2 linked regions of the Daphnia pulex genome follow. The protein of the gene in region 1 purifies or fractionates together with the protein of each later gene. This does not show direct contact. Links are inferred from orthologs where the notes say so. Each region holds a gene or a part of one and is shown in the gene's direction. Other genes may lie near its edges.

Region 1 (11,488 bases):
GTTGATCAAAACAACATAAATCGAAATGAAGGCCGTAAATGACATGAAAAATAATACCCGGAAGATTTCTCTCTATAGCTCTTTTTAGACAACAGTAGCAAAAGTTGTTTACCAATGCAATTGTGTGTGAATTCCCTGGAAGTTGCTGCATCGTGGTGGAAAGCGCTAAGCGGATAGAAAGTTTTCTTTCCCTTTTTTTTACGAATTTGTTATTATTGTTGTACTACTACTGTCATGTGTGTGTGGGTGTATGGGGTTTTTTAAAACACTTTCTACACTGGCGGAATCCGTCGAGGTCGCTGTCCTCTTGCCGCTTTTTAGCTGCTGCACATTCTCAAGCTATTTTCGACATTTCCGAATTTTCTATCGAAAAAAAATCATAACCTTGGCCGGAACTGAAGAAAACTGATCCCTTTCGGATGGAGCACATGAATTCAATAATGAATAACATACGGGAGTCATCCAAGACATCCCAAGGTTTTTCCATAGGAAATTCAATTAAAAGTTAGAGAAATCTTTCCCTCCATCAAACGATATCAATCGGCCATGAATCGATCGCCTTTGATGACTTTTGCCGATGCTGCTGGGAAGACCTTCTTTTCCATCACTTCCGTCATGACCTCCCAAAGTCAAGTGTGTCAACAAACCCTGCCGGTGTCTCTCTTCTTTAATCAAAGCCATTCCTCCTACATGTCAAAAGGGAAAACCAAATTGTGTGTGTTGAGTTTTCTTCAATCCTAGTTTTTTTTTGAAGAACATTTAGTTTCAAAATGAAATAATCAGCGCCACCTAGTGGTGAAAAATAGCTAAACAAAAAAAGAAATCTTTATTCAATCAATCATCTATCAATTTCCGTGTTAGGCAGACAAAAAAAAAAACAATCCAAATTGCAAAGAAAATTGTCTTTGTTTATGGTGGGTATGCCATCAAGCGAAAAGGGGAAAAAAAGTTTGTTGATGGCCATTGACGGGAAAATGTAGGGAAATCAAAATATTGATGACACTCGCACAACTTTCCAACATTTGGTTGATTTTTATCTTTTACAAGAAAAACAAAATTTAGGAAGAGGGAACCACTAAATCAAAAAGCTGATGGGCGGAAAACAAACGGATAAACAATGAGAGGGAAAAAAATGAAGAAAAGTTATTACTTTTTTTTATATCAGATGATGATGATTCGATCGAAGTCAATTAGGATCGAAATCGCCCACTCCACCTACATCGAATTTGAACAAATGAAAAACACATGGCGACTCAATAGAAGAAGAAGAAGGGAAAAAAAAACATGAAAAATGGCCGATTAATTAATTATATGGGGGTAGAGAATAGGGCAGGGTGGAGGCGATTCTTTGTTGTTTTTGTTTTATTATTATTATTATTATTATTTACTCTTTAAGTGTTTCCGTGAAAGTATCGCTCTGCGTTAGGGAAACGTTCGGCATCGAAATCGGCGTCCGTGTCCAGCCTGGCGTTGCCCAAACGGCGGATTTCCGGCAAAAGGGCGCTGCCCACTTCGACATTGGCAGTGGCCACATTCGTTACTTCACCAACGGCGGCCGACGAGACGTTGGCAGAACGCAGGGCGCGTTCCATCGTTTCTAACATTTCAGAAATTAAAAAAAAAAAGGGTTTTACAAACGTTGTATAAAATATGATGAATGAATTAATTACCCTGGAGGAGCAACTGAGGATTTGTGTTGGGTCGATTGCCTTCGGCCAACTTGCGTCGCTTATTGGGAATTCCGGCCAGGTAGGCGTCACTGAGCGGCACATTTGGCGGAGCTCGATTTTGACGTTGGATATCACGGGCAATCACCGGTACCCATTCCTGTCAGAAAATTGTATTTAAAAACAAAATTAATTAAAAATTTGGGTGGAATGAAAAACGATTTCTAAAAATTCTGACCCGTGGGACTTCGTTGTGCCACGACTGAGAGCCCATGACGACGTCAATGACCGGCTCTGGAGGTTTCACTTGGCTGGATTCCTTTTGACGAACATCTTGGCGGAGTTTCTCTAGTCGACTAAGTCTTGCGGGCTGTGCAGAAACTGGTGCGGATGCTGCTTCTTCCGTCTTCTCTTCTACCACATCCATCGGTTCTTCTTCAACTGGTGCCGTCGATCCAGTAGCCACTGGGGGAACAGACTCGGGAGCAACGACGGTCGCTGCGGCCGGTGAATTTGTGTCGGTCATCTCTTCCACTTCTGCATTGAAAAGGGCAGTCCAGGTCCTTCCGCGTTCCGTGTTCATCACCATGGGCTCAATAGTTGGCGTCAGTTGATCCAAATCGACGGAAGCCAAAAGTGAACGAAGACGTTCGATCGACGAATTTGTCGTCCACTCTTGGACTGCTGGATGAACTCCATCCGATACTCCACGCTACATTTTAATAACAAAACAATTAGCGCCTCAATTCATTATAATAATTCATTTAATATCCTACCAACTGAGATAGGAAAACGCGTTCAAGACTAGTGGAACCATCGGTGAAACAATTGAGGGCTAAAGCTGCAGCGAGTATTAAAGTCCGGCGGATTTTATCCATCATCAGTTGGCCGAAATTCGGATTTTCACCTTAAACAAAACAGAAAAGTCAATCAGCTATCAACGTCAAGTACAAGTTCAATAATACCTGGCATTCCAATTAACTGGATGACTTCGTGAAGACACTGCTGGATGAATTGGGCCATGGTAGCGACGAAATCCACATCGGGACGAATGCTGGCCTCGGCCTAAAACCAGACAATTTAGTCAATACTTGAAATGAAAAATGTAATAATAATAATCGTGTCCTACGGCAGCACTCTGGAGTAAGGGCATGGCTTGATTGACCAGTGTCATGATGCCCTGTCGGACGGAAGGGTCTGAAAAGTCACCACCGGAAGGTAAGACTCGTTGACGAGCGAAATTCCTCAAATGATCTCTCATCTGGTTCAAAGCCTCCGGCATTCCGTAAAATAGGGCCATCAAATCACGGAATGTCATGTGATCCGCCTTTTTAGTCAAAAAATAAAGGTCAGCTGTTAGTTTTTGAATGGATCGTTTCATCATCGTCAAGGTAAATTTCACCATAGTCATAAAGAGGTCAAAGAGGAACGACTCGCCGGCCGTGTAAGTGAAATCAGGAATGTTGCGTAAGAAATGGGCCACCGTGTTGGGCGACTGATGGCCACTCACCACACCCGCAACTTCTTGCATGACTCCCTGGAGCAAACTACTAAACAAGGCGTTGGTTAACACTGGATTAGGGCTGCTGGATCCATCTCCACCACTCGTTCCACCTGCTACTACCCCGCCTGATAGTACACCGCTATTGGCCGTCACCTGAATTTCCATTTAATGACCAATCATTATCAATGTTTTCCTCTCGCAATTTTCAATGCCGCAATTACCTGACGAAACATTTCGTTCATAAATTCGTCGACGGAGGCCGGAACGGCTGTCGGTTGATTTCCAGGGCCTGGTGGACGGGTTTGATTGAGACCGGGAAAAGCTTGTGCCGCCGACGTGGAAGTGACAACCACTGGGCGTGGTCTGGCTCGCTCAGTGTCGGGTCTGGATGAAGACGAGCGGGTAACATGTCGAGAATGACACGGTAAAAAGTCGTCAAATTCGCCCAAAGATGTTGGTGATTGCCCACGAGACGCTTGTTGATCTTCCTGTTGATTGTTGTTCGAGCGAACTTCCATAAAGAGCGACATTGGATGCATTTGACCACCTAAATTGACAGGGGTCCAGCCTCCTTGACTCGCCATGGCTAAAGGCAAACGTCCAAACGGGTGCGGTCCTCCCCTGACCAGCATTTCAGGGTGCAGCATTTGGACTGAGGCTCTTGGAGCTGGGGGATTCTGCGCCGATGCATTAGCTACACCCGTTCCGGTCGTTCCAGCAGCCCGCCAACCATGAAATGTCGGATTTGTAGTTGGAGGAACTGATGGATTGGCAGCAGTAGCTGCAGTGGGTGGGCGGGTAACGTGTCGGATGAACTCATGAGGAGATATTCTTGTGGGCAATCGCGGAGGAGCTTGCGCTGGTTGCGGTTGAGGAGCTGTAGCGGCCTCAGGAGCTGCTGGGTTAGCCTGTGTCTGAGGAGCTCGGTGGGTATGTGTAGTCTCGACGCTGATTGAAGCGTGAATGGGTATGGTCGATGAAAGAACTTGTTGGTAGACGTAGGGTCTAGCACGGACTTCACGAGGAGGGGGAGTTCCAAAGTCAACCATTAAATCGCTCATGGCGTGAAAAGCGTGGGCCAAAAAGTGCAATCCTTCGGCTACCTTTTGGATCAAAAATCAATTGAAAAACATGGAAAGGAAAATATAATATGATTTTACTGAACCTGGTTGTAGGTGTGTTGTGCTTGCCGGTATTCAGGTGATGTGCTGTCCAATACGGGATCATCTCTGAGGAGCTGACGGACGGTTGTCAAATGAGGGCGAAGATCCTGCTGGATCCGTTCCATATCTTCGATGACATCGGCAAAGACAGACACTCGAGGATTTCGAATTTGCTGTTGTCGAGGTTGTTGGTCACCAGGAGGAGCTGCAGCTGACGACGGAGCTGACGAAGGAGCCGACGAAGGAGTTGCAGATGGGGTGGTTGAAGGAGGAGTTGTTGAAGGGGGTGTTGTTGAAGTCGGAGCTGTAGGACTTACGCGTTCGCTCGCGCCACTGCCACTCTCTGGTGGATTATTTGGTTGAGGCCCTTGCACCCGAAAACCAAACGATCCTTGAACTGCTGGTGATCCATTAGGTCCTTGCAACACGGCAATATTGTTTGCCCTGATAAAAAGAAACGTAACTAACATTTTTAGTTTTTTAGTTTGGAGGTTTGTCATTACCCCAAGGATTGAACAGTTGAAAATGCAGCAGCTATAGCAGTGGCAGCCTGTGCTTGAACCATTTGTATGGATGAGTAGGGTCCCTCAGCAGTATTATCCATTGTAAAGAGTGAACCAGTGCTGGGAACTGAACTGATCCTTCCCAAACTCTGTGAGGCATCCTCCAGCATGTGTCTGGCTGTATTCAAACGCAACAGAGAACTACTTCCGGCTGGAGCTGGTACTGAACCTTCATTTGATCGTAAACATTGTTATTGAGATTTCTACTTTTAATAATGATGAGAAATTTACCAAATGAATGATTGGCACCATTTTGAAACCCTCTGTCTAGGTGGTAGTGAATGTTTCCTGGTCTAGATCCTTGAGTTCTTGGTGGTCCTGAAGGAGGATTACCAACTGTTGGAGGTGCTCTCTGGACCAAGTGAATGACTTTTCCACTCAGGTCTGTAAAACACAAAAACATTTACATGCCAATCATTTGTTTTGAGCTAGGAAAGAGTATTTTCAATTTACCATATTCACTGAGCTTTTTGTCATCTTGAAGAACTCTGCCACAGTAAATCAAACGCTGAGTCTCTGCTGGTGTTCCTACATCCCCAGCAATGTGTTCTTTAAGTTCCTTGACTGTGAGCTGCAAAACAGAAATCCAGTTAGTTTCCCCTATCTAAAACTCACGAGTCGTTTCTTTTAATGGTCTTACCTCCTCTGAAACTGTGAATTTATGATTACGCGAATCGAGGGTTTTGACGGTAACTTCAATATTTGCCATTTTTGTTTAGCTTTCACCACCTCGAGTTCCAACCTCGCTGTAGTTTGGTGACGATACAGACACACTAATAATAATTATTCGGTTTCAGTATTTTTTATTTTACCGATCTAACCGGACGGCTCTGAACCGACGTCAGTTGTGTAATGGGTGTCGAAATGTAAATCTCTAACGTGGAAAACTGGAAATCGGGCCTGTAATAATACACGATAACAAATAGAGGCGCAACTGTCTCCACATCGAATCGACACGACACGACACAGCCGACAATTCATAGGCTTACGAACCAAGTTGTGTTACAACGCCACCTATTTCTCTTGGTTTTAAACCGTAAAAGAGGAATTCACTTCAATTTCATGATAATTTGTACATTTTACGAACAAGATTTTATCTAATTTTACACGTTATATTTATCAATGACAAATTCAAGGAAAAAATTATTTTATGAAAATCAATTCCTGGAATGAGCACCATCTTTTGGTGGTTTTCGATAGTCGAGGCAAGACAGGTGTAGACGAAATCCAATGGCGAGTTAAATCTAAAAAAGTGAGCGAAGCAGTTCAAAAGTCAGAACACAACAACAATGAATGCACTTGATGTTAACGAAGCCAGGAAACGGTTGGTGGATGTTTTGGGAGATTCTTCTAAGAAGTAAATAAATCAGATTTGATATTTGTGGTGGTATATCTCTAATATCATGTTTTATTTAGTTATTTTGCCCACCTGAAATCGTGGTTTTGTATGAGGGTAAGAAATGTTTCTTTTATACTATCCATTCAGTCATAACTGACATTCTCTCTATTTAGACAAGCAAAGAAGAGTTTGATCGCCAAGCCAGATTGTACCTGAAAGTAGACCAAGTTCATCTTCACAATGAGTTTCTTTTGGCCATTGTTACAAAATGTCAAAGCTTGTGCCAGCCTTCAACCTATGTCTATCATGGTGTGAAGCAAAAGCCAATTGTTGTCACTGAAGTGAACAAAATCAGACCACATACCATTCCTCTACAGAAACGTAATTCTGTTGAAATCAAACCGATCACTGTGACAAGACAAGTTTACCCAAAGAACAAGCCTCTCACTGTCAACTTTGATGTAATATGTCTTAATTATTGGAATTTTCATTGGAGACCTTGATTAACATAATTCTTTTCTTATCTAGAATCGATTCCAACCAGTGAATCCAGTTTCTCTGTTACCATTTTCTGCTCCTTGCACTGTAGAGAAACCACAGCTTCGTTACTGCAGCCAGGATCTAATTTTACCTGACGCTGGACTCGTTCACGGTCGAATGCTAGTAGCAGCTTGGGATGCTGGTTTGGATCATGGTTGTGAAGACAAAGCCATCAAACTGATACTGGCAGCTACCAAGCAATTTCTTAAAGAACTGATAATTGCTATCATAACAAACCGGAAAGGGTACCGCCTTCGAGAGAACAAAGTCATCTATTCGGTTGGCCAACCTACAATTAATCCGTGGCTACACAATTCATGGTCCATCCAAGACAGTACCAGTAACAGGTAAATATTTATTGTACAGTCCTATTCTTTTTCAACAACAATGTTTCTAAGTGTTCTCATTTTAAATCAGTTATCTGACCGAAATTTCGCAAGCTGCGGAACCACCTCACGTTCCTGCCATACCCCAAACATCTCAGAAAGCAGAGCGGGATTCCGCATTCTACCTAGCGTGCACTACCGAACAAGTTACCGCACTTCAACCGATTTCCGTTCTTGACGTTTTTCAAACTTTACAAGTAAGTCGATATTTAATTTCAAAACTTCAAACTAATCCTCATGTTTCTTTATTGAATAAACAATAGGTTAAAAAGGGCGTCATTCCCTGGCACACAGTGCACGCCGTCAATATGGAACGCATTTCACAGCGCCTCTATCACCCCAATTAAACTCGAATCTACTTGCTTAAAGAAATTATAACGATTAAAAAAAAAGATGTTTGTATTGTCGACGAGGAGGCCATGAGAAGTCAAGAATGCCAGGAAACTTTTTTATACCAAGAAATTGCATTTTTTTTTCCTCAAAATTCTCCTATAAAGTACACACCTCAAAACTGCTTTTCATCGTCTTTTTTCCCATTATTTTTTGTTGTTGGTTCATTGCGACAAAGCTAAATGCGCGGTCTACGTGTCGGAACGCCAGAGCTTGATAGTCTTATCGTTCTCCAATGCAGCAGATGCGATGATATTATCGGTCGGATGGCATGCAGTACACAGCACGACATCTAGAATGAAACATGAAGGGATATAAGTTCGCGTGTGACGTCTAGACAAATTAAATGTGAAAGAAGGAGCAGGTCCCCCGGTAGGAAGCCTTACCGGTGTGTCCTTGAAGTTTCTGAACAATTTCCTTCGTTTGCAAGTTCCAAATATAAACCATGTTGTCTTCAGAGCCGGAAACGATCCACTGCAGAAAGAAAAACATGTTCAAGTAAAAGAATGAAACGTGGATTGTTAAAGCAGTACTTTTCCTCCAGTAACCGAAAAATTGGCAAAGATGCAATATTTCTCGTTTTTGTGGCCGGTGTAGGTTTTCAAGCATTTGCCCTGAAACGAGCCAAAGAAAAAAGAATGGTAAAATCTGCAAAAATCTTTAGAGTTGAATTCATGATGACACCTTGGAATAGTCCCACAACTTCAGTGTGTTGTCGAGAGTTGCAGCCAGGATGTATTTTCCGTTGGGTGAAAATTTGACAAACGAGACGGGAGGATTGTCATCATCGATCAGCGTTTTTAGGCACTGGCCGGAAGCCGTGTCCCAGATGCGGCTGTAAACAAGTGATCAACACCACCAATCGATAAAATTAAGAGGTCGAATTTATTTAGTAAAATGAACACGATTATACCAAAGGCCATCGTAGCTTGACGAAACGATAAGAGATCCGTCCCGGTTAAAATGAACCGCTGATACGGGATCTGAATGGGCAGGAAGGGTTTTCAAACATTTTCCGGTTTTGACGTCCCAGATGCGCACACTCTCGTCAAACTGCAAACAATTCAAAAAGGTCAATAGCCTATTTTAAAGAAGGCGAGTGGTTGAAAACTTACTGAGCCTGAGACAATCAAGTTGGATTGGGGATTGAAATTGCAACAGAAAACATAATTGCTGTGTCCTTTTAATGTCTTCAAACATTTCCCCTATAAGAACATACATGAATTAGAGATGAGCTAACATCACAAATAAATGGTTAAAGACTTACTGAGCTCAGTTCCCAGATCTTGAGGGTTTTATCATCACTGGCAGACACAAGCAGGCGGCTATCAGAAGACCAAGCTACATCTGAGATACCAAGTTTATGACCTGTGATTGATTTCTCAAATTTGCCATCATAGGCACCCCAAATCTTCACCAGTTTATCAGCAGCTATTCATGATAAAAAAATTATAACATTATTAGAAATATAATTCTCCTGAACATACACCATCAAAATATTTACATGAACTTGCAAGCCATTCTCCATTTGGGCTGAATTTCACAGCTGACACAGCTTTTGTGTGGCCAGCTAGGGTAAACTTGAGGGCATAGTTTGGCTTCTAAATACAATATTGAATTAAGATTACTTTTTATCCTAAAATGCTGTAAGAATTGAAAATTCCGGGTTGGAAGGGTTACTCACCAACCCCGATGCTGGCTTTGCTTGAAGAGGAGAAGTAGTTGAATTATTACTGTGGTTCTTAAAATCCTGATCACCTTTCATTTTATCATCAGCCATTTTGATTAAATAAGAAGTTGCCAACAGTATACTTGAATCTCAAGCACAATAGCGAATTTACAATGTTTTCCTGGACAGTGATGAGTGGACTCAACAGTCAGCTGCTACACTGGCACAGGATTGTTAATCAGTGTTTGGCAACTATCCAAACTGTATTAATATTTTTTGTTTTTTTTGCAAATTTTTCTTATGATTCGTAGACGGCCTCAACACCTTTCTTTTATTTAGTGTAAGGTACGCACGAGATTTGCCCAGCTGTGTGCCTTAATAATATTTTGCATTACAGGCACTGAACTGCGGTAATAAAGAACATGGTCGTTCTCTTCTTCTTCACCAACTGTCACAAGCAACACTGAAACACTCAACACAAATAGTGTAATAAGTGAATCCAATTAAAGTCGCCGTCAAAACGTGAGAATCCAACAAAACGCAACACTTAACATTCGTGACAACGCTTTCGGCAGCACGGGTTTACTACTCGTGTTGAGCCAAACGTCCACCAGATGGCGTCGACTTGATCAGCGACATCTATGATTAACTAACCAAGTTTAGACTGGATTCGCGCCAAGAGTTTGAAATTTAAAATCGAGTTTCCTCGTTCAGGTTTTATCTCATGCGCAAGCTTAGTGGAAATGGGGTGAACATGTTCATTTCAACCATAAGTAGTTCACTACTAATCTAGACGTATTTGTCGTTTATAACACAAGAGTAGTCATGTGATTTAATAGTAAACGGTAAAATGCTTTTAATCTAATGATCTAATTATTTGTTTTCAAAATATCAGCACTATGTCGTAGAGATTTAGATTCACAGATAAACGAGTAACGATGATCGGTACAACTCAAGTCATTCCATTCATGAATAAGGAGGGTTTCATTAAACGTTAAAACCCAAATTAGACATTCTTCTTGTGTACTTCCATGTACACGTGATGGTTCTCCCTCTTGCCAATTCATTTCTCTCGTGAGAATATCGCCTGTACCAGCCCACATCCAAGTTGATCGATTGCCGTAAAGACGATTACCGGATGTCAAGTATAATTGTTTTTGAACTAAATTTTGAAAATTAGATTTCATTCAATTATACTTTGTAAAGAACATTTCCGTGATCACCATTTTTTTTCTCTGCTTTGAGTTGTTTGGCTAAATTGTTTTCTTCTTCTTTCGTCTCAAGCGACAGCAATTCCATGCCGTACTGCCGGCAATAATGGAGAGCACTCCACCAGTTTCTCTGTGAAATAATTAGTGATGTAACCCAACAAGTGATTGAATTTCATTTAAATGAGACTGCTCTATATGTGTTTTATAATACATCTTCAGAGACGATGCAGTAGCATTCGCCGTTTACTTTCAAACAACGAAATTTTTTGGCCGTGAAATGTTTTGGGCAAGTTCCTTGTTACGCGAATTAAAAGATCAATTAAAGAAAGGTGAGTGTGAATAACTAAAAAGAAGTTAACCATTCATACCATGAATCAGGATATCGTTAATGTGATCCTCCTTTGAAATCTAATATTAACACAAAAAGAAAATTAATTTAAAAAACGACTAATTACAGATTAAATGATTTACCGTTTCAATCAGTGCAAAATATTCATCCTCGAGACTTTCAATTTCTTGTAAAAAGCTCGTGGATTCAGCACTAACAGGTGTAATTGGTACTATCACGCACAAACTGGCCATCAAGAAAACGATGAACGAGAAACTCAAAAAGTAGAAACAGTCGTTGGTTGTAATCATTCTTGAGCGACGGGATTTTCTAAAGTGACTTGAAAAAACAAACAAATGGAACCATTCCACACTTATTCTTGATTACAGGAAGTGAGGTTAACCACAATGTAATTTCCTGTCGAGATTTTAAAAATTAGCCTTTGTTTTGTTTTTCCCGAACGAAACAAGATCCGATGCAAATTGTATTAGAACTCGTTCAAATTACAAACGCATGGTCGTGTAATAATTGCTGTTTTATAAAACACAGGTGATCAGTGTTCAAGTCAAGTCTTTGATAAATTGCGGCTATTAAGCGGGAAAAAATCAAGAAACTTTTGACAAAGAAAATGGTTCTCCTCGAAACAGGATTCTGATAAAAAATCTCCTTTACTGGAGAATTTCAGGCAAGACTCGAATTCACTTGCGTCGCTGCTGCTATTAGGATTT
Region 2 (12,483 bases), about 830 kb from region 1:
AAAATCTCGAAGTTTTTTTTTTTTCAATTTCCACTACGCCGCGTTGATTCGTGCCGTGTGTTGATTTAATTGTAAAACGAAAAAAAGAAACCGAAAATAATTCATTTCCAAATTCAGGAGAGACAACAAGGTCGGTGACGTGACATCTTGTCTCAAGTTCAATCTTCTCCTCCTCGTCTCAAAGTGGTTAAAAAAACGTCATTTCTTTATCACCTGTTGTTGGTGAAACATCTTCTTTTTTTTGTTTTCCCGCCCGGCCATAATCGTTTGGCAGAAGCTCTAAACGCATCAACTCCCGCCCCGTCATCTCGGCTTCGTTTTGCGTAACGTACAGTAGCACAAGAAGAGGACTCGAGTCGTCGTCTTTTCAAACTCGAGTGGGTCCTCTTCTTCTTTTGATGGTTTTACAACGCCGACCTTGGCCGTCCGTCAACAAGTGACTAGTAAGAAAAAGAAAAAGAAGAAAACCTGAAATAATAAAAAAAAGGAGAGGAATTTTAGTGACAAACTTTTTAGGTTGCAACTTGCCAACACCTCATCACGCAACACGTCGTCTATAGCTGGTTGGTTACGGACCGTTGATGATTATGGGCCCCCGCATGCAAAGTCATTTAGTATTTAGTAATTGCGCAGCACGTAGAGTGAGAGTGAGACACCCAACCAATTTCATTCTTTAGGCCGTCAGGATGATTCCGAATATGTTGATTTACATGCGGAGAGAGAGAGAGAGAGAATATAAGCGCAAAAATAGTGTAGAGGAGGAAAAATGGTGAATACAACATACCAGGACACTTTCACTTTCTTTCTTGTTATTATCTACGTAAGAATATTCCTCCAGAGGCGTCATCGACCGGACTCGGGTTCTTAATAACTCGGAAAATGGTTTTGTTTGGCTTCGTTCCCACTTCGAACCATTTCTTTTTTCTTCTTTCTAACTCGTAACCGAAAGATGGTCAGGAGTTACACAACAACAATTTGGAAACGGGTTTGGGTGAATGCAAATTAATTTAGACATAATGAAAGCTGTAAATTATATTATGTCCTTTTTACCAAAAAATATATTCGTCTGGTGGGCTCTGCCGAAATTGAATTTTGTGAAGGCCGCGGTCGTCAAACTACAAAATATTCAAAAAATGATCAAATAAATAAATTATAAAGGGGAATATGATAATGGAAAAGATGGACCGGCTCGTGCTTAACCCGGCGTCAGATTACCAGTTTCGATAAGGGGAAAAAAAGAAATACAACAACTTCCAGGTTTAGGAAAAAATAAAATAAATTTTCTTTCCATCTCTTTCAAATTTCAACCAACACGAAATAGGATTCCGAATCGGTCGACGACTCGGTCGGAATCGTTGATGCGGAACGGCGTACACGAGAAAAATAAAATCCTATCACGATCTTTCGTCTTCTTCTTTTCTCTATAAAAAATAAAAAAAAAACCCGAAACGAATAAGAATCAAAAGTAATCCCCTATGTGTAGAGAGGAGAATACAATCAAGGACATTGTTAGTTTAACAATTCCAGAAAGAAAATCTCCTATTGGGCTTCTCAAATTCGTTTTTCTCCTTCATCTTCTTTCGTCAGAAACATCTAAATTCGATTTTTTTTTTAAGATTTCAAGACCTAGCCGGGGTTGTTGCTCCTGGATATATCGTGTAGTTAAAACTCTTTCAGTTCTGGTTTGACCCCGAGATCGTGCAAGAGCTCGGTGGCGGCGGTGGTGGCCATCAACTGGCAGCAACAACAAAAAAGAGTTTCCACTCAATTGGTGCTGGACGTGTAGATGAGATCTGGTTTTGGGTCGGCCGGCTCAACCCGTTGGGTTCCTCAATTTTGTTCAAAGATCATTGTCCTAATGTGTCCTCGCCCCTCAACTGATTATTTGACCAAAAGACACGATCTCGAGACAAAACACTTTCCAATCGATAAATTCCGATTTTCCTGAAAACTTTTTAATTAGCAAAAGTTAAAAAAGAAAAAAAAGGAATTGGGACAAATGGAGAGAAGACGAAAAAATAAACACGTTCAAAGCAAAATGTGTGTGTGTGACGGGCGAAATTTTCTCTCTCCATTTCGCTCCAGGTGATTTATGATTCCCCGACTGTGCCAATAGAACGGGCACGCAGAGCTGGCACACAAGAGCGTGCTGACCCATTTTCGATTCTTCTGCCAATATTGTTCGCACTGTGGTCAGCCCTATTGGCGCTCGCCTAGCTAAGGTCAACCGTCGTCTGTGTGATTGACATAAATTGATCGGTCCGCGATTTCCACCGCATATGAAATAATCTGCCCAGTCATGCTCACGTAGGCTACCGTCTCTCGTGTGTCTATAATAACTGCCGATGTTACGTGCGTCTTTTTTCTGGGGGAATTTCGGTGGGCATTTCGACATACCGGATTCTCGAATGATGAAAAGGTCAAACGAAAAAAGGGAAAATAACTTTCGATTCTTTTTTGCTGTGCGTTTCCATCTGACATTTCAGCCAGGAATAAAAGAAAAACCTGTTTTTCGATGTTGAGCATACACCAGGGAGGGCCAACAACTTCGGAGGAGAAATATCCGACACACAGAGAAAATGCGAGAGAGTTTGTTCGTGTGTTTGTGTAGAAAAAGAAGAAAGGGAGAGGAATATATAAATAAGATGAAGGTTTCAGATAGATTCTTCTTCTTCTTCTTTCTTTTCTTTTCTATACAAACAGACTATCCAGCCGAGTCAAATATACACACGGCGATGTAGGACTTGTCCGCCGAGCAAGTCCGATGGCTCTCGGTTGATATAAGGTACAAGGTCACCACCTTCCTGGTCATCCCAAGACTAGAAGCAAGACACTCAAAGAAGAAGAAGAGAAATACCTGATGTCTGTGTAGTTTTTTTTGTTTATTATCTTGCGCTCCTCATCATTGGAATAGGACGACCCTGGAGACGATATTGGGATGGATGTCCAGTCTCTTTCAGCTCCTTTCTCTCTCTCTCTCCTCTTCGACTCTGCAGGTAATAAAAAAGACAAACGAAAAATATAAACAAAATGGTTAAATGTAATAGACCCATAGAGTTCAGGACCCACTGGGGGGAAAATAGGTAAAAAGTAGTCGAAAATAGCTGTTATCCCCCCATCTCCAAATGAAAATGGAACACAATCAGGATTGGTGGATTGTTGTGTTGAAAGAAGAAATAGGGGGGGACTGGGTCACTGTGCTTAACCTTGTGCCCCATCGCCCATATAAACACCGAGACCAAAAGAGAAACAAAAAGTCGGTTGTCAGTTGGGATATTTGTTAAAATCCCAATGCCACCCAGCAGAATATAGAAAAGAGTCAAAATGTATGTGCACACCTTTACACCCAAATGTGGAAGAAGATTCTTTTCTGTAACTACCTCAACAGTTGGGCAGGCCCTGACCTTGCCAAGAGGCTCTAGGGTTGCCATGAAAATATTTTTTCTAAAACGTTTACGAATCAAATAAAACGGATAACATTCATTTGAATCGATAAAGGGGGACACCAGCTGGGCAGCTGGTCCCTTCCAAAACATTCGAAAACCAGGAAAAATGTTTCTCAGTTGTTACGTGTGTTCAACAATGCGAGGATGAACGAACAGACAAGATGTAGGAAACTCTCCAGCAGGCCCTTTAACAACCGAAGAAGAAGAAGGGTGAGAATGACTCGGTTGGTTGGCAGCGAAAAAAGAAAAGAGATGAAAAACACAATTCCACGATGGCCGATTATGGCATAATTGGATACACCAGCAGGTCTCGAGAGAAAAAAGGGAATTACCGTATACTTATATGGGCTGGTCATCAGCAGGGCGAAGCCATAGGGTTGTTGGATACGTTTGAAAGTATAGAAAAACATGTATATACTTAAATATTGGGAAGCGAGTTCTTCTCCAGCGGCCATTTAGACACATTTCCAGTTTCTTCTTCACGTCCTCGAGGGGCTTTGGGAGTCCTTTTTTTTTCTATTATCAGCTATAAAGTTAAGCTTCGAGAACCTAAAAGAAAAGAAAAATAAAATGAAAAAGAATCCATTTTGAAGGGCATTTCGACTATATAACACTGGCAGACATCCCCAAGTTCTTTTCTTCAAGATTTTGACTTTCAAGGCCACAAGATTATTCCACAACAGCATCATTATTCACGACACATCGTGTCCAATTGGATATCACATGGTTTTTTGGCCACCTCGAAAGCGTTATTATGAAAATTTCGCGTCAAGAATGACTTAACACGTGGGGAGAGATAACTATTTACACACACACACCAGCTGATTGACCATGTCGAATTTATTAACCTTGGATTGATCTTAATTCATTCAGACATGTGGCGATTGAAATGCATCGCCGACATAATCTAGTTTGATTGCCAAAATTGATTGCAAACCAGTTGCCACTTACTTATGGCAGAAATGTGATGTGTTGCACACGTCGTCGATCTCGGCCATTGTGGTCGAATATCGTCGATAAAGGAGACGGTGACGTTTGGTTATTTCACGGCTCGTTGCAATAGCTCAACTTTCGATTTTATTCCACTCCGTTTCACTTCATCCAAGGGCTTCATCATCCGTGTAAACATCACTTTCCAACATTGTTGTTTTTTTAATGCAAGAGTTTCACATTCCACGAGCATTTTGATTCTGGCAAAACGTCTTCTTCGAAATCCCGACCTCATTTTCACCCAGCCAAAACATTGCCAATTATCTTGAATTCGGAAGAAAAGGGGGAAACAAAAACACGTTTCGTTCCAATCTTTTGAAATCATTATATAAAATGAGGTTATCTCCTGGGGAATTGCTTCCTGCACCAAAAAAAAAGTTCACTAGTCCATGTATTATTTCCGAACAAAAGCTAGCGGTTACCACATTTCCGGCGGCCAGGATATAATTGATTTGTTGTCTGCGGTTTTCACACAAAAATCTCCCTCCATTTTTCCTCAAAAAAATCTTGTCTGCTCAACGTTGCACGAGGTTGTTATTTTGGACAGAAGATGGCGATGGCGCTTTACCATTTTAGCAGAATAAATTTTTTTTTTTGGCCTACAGAAAAGGAAAGAAGCTATGGCGTTTAGATAAATTGTTTCTTCTTGAGAAAGCCGTCGAGGTTGGGCTTGTAGAGGCCGAAATTTATTAATTTTCTATAAGGTCTCTATTAAAACGTGTGGAATTATAAAGCCGCCAACATTTTGCCCAAGTCTAATTCACCGTCGGTGGCCATGTCGGCTGCCCATGGCTGTCTCCACTTGAACAACTTCAAAGCGGCCAAGGGGACTAGGCCCTACCGGCTCATTCATTCCTTTTTTGTGGCATGCACATCTTCAGAAGCCCGTAAACGCAAGGTAAGAGTTCAAGTATTGTTTCTTTTAAATCACTCCTTTACTCATCATTTTTGTTGCTAGGCCAAATCGTGTGTGTGTCATGTCTGTCAGCGAAGAGGACCCAGGCTTCATGCCTGCCTTCACTGCATTTTCTTTGGCTGCTATGGTGCTGGTCACATACAGGCCCACTCTCAGCAGCGGAAACATTTCTTAGGTAATTCGACAACCAAAAATCAAATCTCATTGATACTAATGCAGCCTCCTTTTTTTTACAGCTGTAGATCTGACTTATGGAGTTGTGTGCTGCTTTCAGTGTGGGGATTACGTCTATGACCGAGAATTGGAAACTATTGCTCAAAAGCATCAAACCAAAGCTTCTCTCTCCTTGGGACTGGGTCAAGTCTATCATTCATGGGAACCTTCTGAGGAAGAAATTGAGCTCCTCAAAAAGCATACACGACGCAAGAAGATCACAGACTCTGCCACTATCGGTTCATTATTTAAAAAAATTCATTATCCAATCTTTTATCTTAACTCCATGTTTCATTCATGGCAGGACTCAGAGGTCTAGTGAATTTGGGCAACACCTGTTTCATGAACTGCATAGTACAGGCTCTCTTAAAAGTACCTCTTCTCAGAGATTTCTTCTTGTCGGATCGTCATATTTGTCAGTTCCAAGACGAACCGAGTCGCTGTCTGGTCTGCGAAATCTCTCGCCTATTCCAAGAGGTATGTCATCCAAAAAACAAGAATCCTCGTTTCCTGTGAGAAATCTATTTTCGGATTCATAACACTCCTACTAGACTTATCGCTTCTTTTTTAATCTTCTCTTTCGCAGTTCTATTCGGGGAACAAGGCTCCTCTGACATTGCACCGACTTCTTCACTTGATATGGACTCACGCTCGTCATTTAGCTGGATATGAACAGCAAGACGCCCACGAATTTTTCATAGCAACTTTGGATGTACTCCATCGACACTGCAGGTGAAATTATTCATTGGCTATAAAAGTCGTGAGAAACGTGACATTCTAAATATAAATGATTTTTAACAGAGGACCAAATGAGCAACAGTCGACTCAGCCTCAAGAGAACTCTGTCAATCGGTGCACATGTATCATAGATCAAATTTTCACTGGTGGTTTGCAGTCAGACGTCGTTTGTCAAGCTTGCCAGTAATAACTATTTCAAATGTTTGATGTCCTAAATTTGCTGGTCTTAACGGTTATTTTGTTTTTGTTCACTGCAGCGGTGTCTCTACAACAGTAGATCCTTTTTGGGATATTTCCCTGGACCTCGGTCCGTCACCCAGCACGAAAGTCGTCACCACTGGCAACGGCCCTGGATCGATTCCCACTTCCTTGCAGGACTGTTTGGAGCGATTCACCCGGGCAGAGCACTTGGGATCTTCGGCTAAGATCAAGTGTTCGCGATGTCTTAGCTACCAAGAATCCACAAAACAACTGACGATGAAGAAACTGCCAGTGGTTGCTAGTTTTCACCTAAAGGTGCGTATTGTTTTGTTTTTTTATTGACTTTGAACGTCATATTATGAACCACTCATCGTTATTTTTTTCTTTACTTTATGCAGCGCTTTGAACATTCCAATCGATTCCATAAGAAGATCTCGTCATTCATCGCCTTTCCAGAATACCTGGACATGAGTCCATTCATGTCCCACCGTCGAAACATCAATAACAACGTCAATTCGGATTCTCCGGACCGGGCTGATAGGCCCGTCCACAAGCCCCTTATTTCCACTGAAAACATGTAAACTTGTTGCTCGGTTTATTGAGAAAACGACCGAATGTGACTGTGACGGAATCCTCGTTGCTTCCTTCCTTCTCACCCCACCAGGTATTCTCTATTTGCTGTGATCAACCACGTCGGAACCATTGAAGCCGGTCACTACACGGCCTACATCCGGCAGCACCGAGACCATTGGTTCAAGTGCGATGACCATCTCATCACCAAAGCTGATATTCGCGACGTCCTCCAAAGTGAAGGGTATCAAATATTCCACAAAAACAAACTTAGTTTAAAATATTTTGCAATTTGCTTGGTTGTTCTTGGATATTAATTGGGTGATTTGGTTTTTCAGGTACCTACTCTTCTACCACAAGATGATATTGGAGTATGAATAGAAATGGAGAAGAAAAATGTTTGTAAAGGGCAGCTCAACCGAGTCAACTTTTTTTTTTTTGCATGCAACATCCATCCCTCCATTCACAAGACCTTTTTTTTGTTTGTTTTGTTTTTCCTTTTTTAATTTCCCTTTCTCACTTCCACTTCCAGACAGTTCATCGGCGGTTAATGACCGTAGAAAACGACCATTTTCATTTTTTCTTTTTTCACGATTCAATAAAATATGAAAAAAACACAAAATGGTTAGAACAAGGAATTGAAAGACGAAAAAAAAAGCGAGATTTCTCTGACATAAACCCTCCCATTGGTGTTTCTGCCCTTTGGATTCTTTTGATTGTAAATCCCAAGCAACTCTCTCTCCACCCCGCTCCTCCTTCGATCAAAGGTATATATAGTCATTTCCGGCTATTCTCCACCCGAACCCCTTCTCCCGAATCCGAATCACATACACGAGATCTACTTAAAACAGGAAACAAAAATGGACGAAGACCACACGACCATCCGCAATTGATTTATTTTTATTTTTGCGGATGGCTGGATTTCTTTCCCTATTTTATTGCGCACCTTCGATTTTCTTTTCGACATACTCTCTCGAATCTATGTGTTCAGTGTCGTTTCCTAGCTCTCTTTTTTTTTTTCTGTGTGTCTGCATGTGTTACGTCGGTCGTGAAATCAATAAAACAAAAACAAAAAAGTTAAGATGAACGAACGGAATCAATCCCGATTGAGGTCAGAACAAAGAGAGAGACGCGGAAGAAGAGAAAGCGTGACGTCGTCTGGGGGAGGGGAGGTTGACAGCAACGACGGATATCCGAAGTCGCGAGAGAAAGTTGTAATAGGCCCTCATCCATCGACTTGGTAAATTCAGGAAATTAGTTGGAAGCACAAAAACATCCCCCCTATTCAAAAAGAAACGAAAAGTTGAGATGTCTGATGACTGCGTTGGGAAATTTTCTTGTTTAAACGAAATGTGTTTCAGAAAATAAAAAAAAAAACGACACGTTTGAATGACAGCGCGGTTGCCGTCAAAAAAGGGTTGGCTGGAAACATGTTTCTTATCTCTATGATATTTCAATTTACAAATGAATCAAGACAGCCACTATTCTATAGCAAAACATTATTCTTCCTTTTTTTTTCCTTTTGAGTGGGTTAGAAAAACAAAAATCAACGAATGATAAAGAAATAATTGAGACGATTTAATTGTACAATAAAGAAAGGACGTGGTGGTTTAACTTTGGGCATTCAGAACATCTCGCGTTTATCGGTGGCGCCGCTCTTGACGCTGCCGCTGGCCTGTGCCGGAATCGTCATGGAATGTAGGATGAATTCTTCGGCAATGTCGCGGTCCATCCCCGTGTAAATGTAACCGCTGACCATACTCTCACCGTCGACGTCCATCGATGGCGTCGTCAGCTGTTGCGGTGGGGCCATACCGAAAGAGATGAATTGCTGAGGCCCACCAGTCGTCGGTCGTTTCGGTTGATGTTGAGTCGCTTCCGGTTGGTCTTCGGCCTCGCTGCGAGACTTGCGGACTCGTTTCTCATCCGAGCTGCTCTTGTTCTTCTTCTTTTTGTTGTCTTTCTTATTGTTGTTGTGCGGATTCTCACAGCGAGACGGGCCGGGAGTAGCGGCTGTGGGTGCAGCCGGAAGACTGGCCATCTCTGGCGGCCGGTGCATGTAATTAGCGTGGTGGTGCATGTGCTGCATAGAGGAAAAGTCATAACTCAGCACCAGATAGTAAATAGTCAACCAATAATGATACGTTCATGTTTTAAAACGAAAAATAAACAGTGAGTTTCATAGTTTCCAGTTGATTTATCTTTCTCTTTTTTTTATATTAGTTGACACACCGGCGGCTGGAAAAATAAAAGAATCGTAAAACCCGTGGACTACTAACCGGTGGCATGCTGGACGGGTGGTGGTGATGAAGAGAAGGAAGGCTCGTGAGCGAGTAGAAGGCTGGTCCGGAAATCATTGGCTGGAGTACGGGGACGGCACCGGCTGGAATGACGTAAGCGGTCGGAGCTCCGGTAACGAACGACGGGAAACCGACTGGCGGATGCCCGCCAGCCGCTGGCGTCGTCGGAATCGCAACTGGAATCGGATGGGCCACCATGGGGACCTTAATTGAAGAAAATACGTTCAACATTCGAAACGTGTGCGCAACATTTCCAACAGCATAATAAAAACAACCCAAGGCAAAGTAACACTTATTTAAACTTGGGTGTGTGCGCAATCACTGTACGGTTTGACCAGTATGTACAGTTTGCTACTACCAACAGCGAGTATATTAACGGTAAATTATTATCCAGCCTAATTCCGAGAGGCACAATGTAATCATAATAACGGTAATGACGTCAAAGGAATAATAAAGGAAAGAAAGAAAGAATAAGAAAATCTTTTGATTGTTGAAATCACCTGTGGGCTATAGAGGCGTCGGAGCAGAGGTGGCGGTGGTGGACGTCTTTGTTGTTGTTGTTGTTGCTGGTGATGATGAGACTGGCGCAACCAGCGTAACAGACGGTAAGCTCTGGCCTGACCCTCTGGGCTTTGATCGGCCGTCAGGAGATTCATATTGGGAACGGAACCGATGCGATTAGCGCCAATTTTGTGATGATGGCTACTGTTGCAACTGCTGTTACTGTTGACCAGTCGACGGTGTTGGCCGCCGCCTGCCGAAGTCTGGGGACCGTAACACAGACACGCTTCACGCAGGCAAATCACCACGGCCGCCAGCGACAGGATCGTCGACAAAGTTCCTATGGCAACTAGAACGGCGTTGATGATGATTGGCCGCTGCCTCAACGGCACAGTTCCGAGGAATTCCACTCGACTCCCTTCCTGTTATCCCAAATAAAAAAAAAACATCCAATTTGTCAATTTTTTCACGGCTAGTTGGACACCAATTTAATGAGAAACGTGTGCAATAAAAAAAAATCTGGGTTTCTGGGGTCTCGTAATTGGGTGGCATTGACGGTTCAAATTCTTCAAATGAATATCAAAGTCGCTGGCCTTTGCACAGCTGCTGGATATGCTCACGGTTCAGAGCGTCGACAATATAAAAGGCGCGTTGCGCAATGTTGGTTTTGCGGCATGAAAATGGGACAACAATGTGGATGACTGGGTGACGGGAATGTTTCGTCGGGAGGGCGGGTTTTTAGAAACGCTTCGTTTACTCTCCCGTGACCTTTTAAAAGGATGGAAGAAGAAGATTCGTGTTATTGAGTACCTCTTGATCGACAAAGTATCCGTGAGGTGCGTCCGAGTCTCGTGCCAGTCCAGTAGCGGCGAAGATGAGCAATAGACCGATGGCGGCCAGGGCCAGCACACTCATCAAAAGGTAGGCGACGATGTAGATCAGGTTGGTGCGCTTCTGGCCGGCCATGATGCCCATAAGGCCGCTGAGTATCACAACAGCTCCCGTCCATAAACCTTGAAAAATGTTCGATCAAAAGTTATTTTTTTTTTTGTTTTTGTTCCCATGGCTGTCACTCGGCTTGCGGTGTCGGTCGTTCAGACTGTTGACCATCATCGAATATGTGTAACGAAGTCTTCACGAAAAAAACAAAAAAAAATCACGTCACGTTATTATTACGGGAGGGAAAAATGAGAATCAACGTGAGAAACCAAAATAAGTTTCTTGTCCTATACCAGCCAGTCATCCGTCAACAGACAGCTGTGCATGGTCCATTGAGAATGATACCAACCTATAGCGCTGCCTGCCACTGATGGAAAACCCAAGGTGTGACAGTCCCGACCCACAATTTTTAATTTTTTAAGTTCGCAATGATTTTGTCTTTCTTCTTTTCTCCGGACGTTAAAGTTCCAGGGTCTAATTGGTCGCTACCTGCAAGGTGTGAAAGAGAAGGGGAAGCGCTCCAAACTTTCTCCAAACATTACACTAGACGTTGGGGTTAGCTACGAAAATTGTGCTTTCCCGAAAATTACGTCCATTTAAACCGCTCGGCGCAGTTATTATTACATTGTGAACGCTCTTTCACGATTTTTTTTTTAAATTTATTCCGAGGGGCTGCCGTTTATGGAAATAGGGTCCGCTATTCTCCGCTTCCCTTTTTCTTTCTCCAACAGGTTGTATAGTATTAAGTTTTTTATTATTAGCTATATAGAGGCGGGGGCATTGATGATTTAGGAAATTGACTGCGATGTTTATCTATTTTTACGATTCTCGCGTGAATGAAACATTTTGCTATTTGATAGACCCGCGAGGGACTTACCAATGCGTCAATTCGCGATCATAAAACTAGCTCAAATTGCGTCACACGCACAAATGCGACGGGACAAAAACAGTTAGAGCTAATTAAAGAAAAGAATAATCGTGTGAGAGTGGAGGACCGAGGATGACGGATTGAGGAAGCCATTAAAAGTTTAGGCCTTTTTCTTTTTCTTCGGACCGCAACAGTGCGTTTGAAAATGAGCCCGCCAAAAAAGAAAAAAAAAAAGAAAAGAAAGAAAAAAAAGTCGTGCTGAGCATCTTTCATCGTAACTGGACACCCGAGTTATTTTACACTTTAGAGGTACTACTACAACAGTTGGGATTTCTTTTCTTTTTTAACTCACCGGAACCGAGATAGGACATGGAGGCCTGTTCCCACAGAGCCAAAGCACCGAAAGCCACCAGCAGGACGCCTAAAAGGGTTTTAGCCATTCCTAATGCCAGGGCCAGCCGGGCGGGAAAGAGCTGACCCCGACCGATGCCGATGACAACGCCACCGGGACCGATGGAACCTGCCATTGGAATTGGCTGTTGGGGCGACGGCTTGCCCGGACCGCTGGAATCATTTTCCGAACTGCTGTTGGCCTGTTGCTTCTTCATTAGCCATTTGGTGAACAAGAGACTGGAATCACTGCGCACTGGCACCGCCACTCCGGGGTGTGATGAACGGCCAGCGCTTTCACGGTCCGGACGAGTAACTGAGCTCGACTCGGAAGATGAGCGTCGTCCGTGGACCCACTCGGCCGTCGTCAACGACGAGTTCAATTTGCCGGACATTTCTTGAATTTTCAAA

Evidence for each region.
Region 2: the proteins of transcriptional adapter 1-like (region 1) and ubiquitin carboxyl-terminal hydrolase 22-like purify together in Homo sapiens (affinity purification with mass spectrometry; 4 studies listed by BioGRID and IntAct, with this or other methods). This does not show direct contact. The link is inferred for Daphnia pulex from reciprocal best matches to the Homo sapiens genes TADA1 and USP22.

What each region holds. Positions count from the first base shown.
Region 1 is NC_060023.1:11,635,731-11,647,218, forward strand, and holds transcriptional adapter 1-like, read left to right. Parts: upstream 1-6,094; 5' UTR 6,095-6,186; coding exon 6,187-6,254; intron 6,255-6,313; coding exon 6,314-6,350; intron 6,351-6,409; coding exon 6,410-6,697; intron 6,698-6,764; coding exon 6,765-7,123; intron 7,124-7,193; coding exon 7,194-7,359; intron 7,360-7,425; coding exon 7,426-7,509; 3' UTR 7,510-7,676; downstream 7,677-11,488. Other genes in the region: large proline-rich protein BAG6-like, read right to left, coding at 1,392-1,597, 1,671-1,827, 1,906-2,379, 2,444-2,574, 2,633-2,732, 2,797-2,994, 3,070-3,324, 3,393-4,274 and 5 more; WD repeat-containing protein 5, read right to left, coding at 7,744-7,844, 7,939-8,026, 8,086-8,166, 8,237-8,387, 8,466-8,605, 8,668-8,757, 8,820-8,983, 9,057-9,153 and 1 more. UniProt on the Homo sapiens protein: Probably involved in transcriptional regulation.
Region 2 is NC_060023.1:10,808,177-10,820,659, forward strand, and holds ubiquitin carboxyl-terminal hydrolase 22-like, read left to right. Parts: upstream 1-4,996; 5' UTR 4,997-5,211; coding exon 5,212-5,334; intron 5,335-5,394; coding exon 5,395-5,527; intron 5,528-5,588; coding exon 5,589-5,804; intron 5,805-5,869; coding exon 5,870-6,042; intron 6,043-6,151; coding exon 6,152-6,297; intron 6,298-6,366; coding exon 6,367-6,486; intron 6,487-6,560; coding exon 6,561-6,819; intron 6,820-6,902; coding exon 6,903-7,081; intron 7,082-7,168; coding exon 7,169-7,318; intron 7,319-7,412; coding exon 7,413-7,455; 3' UTR 7,456-8,155; downstream 8,156-12,483. Other genes in the region: uncharacterized protein LOC124196741, read right to left, coding at 8,699-9,157, 9,354-9,578, 9,875-10,297, 10,686-10,888, 12,035-12,467. UniProt on the Homo sapiens protein: Deubiquitinase that plays a role in several cellular processes including transcriptional regulation, cell cycle progression or innate immunity.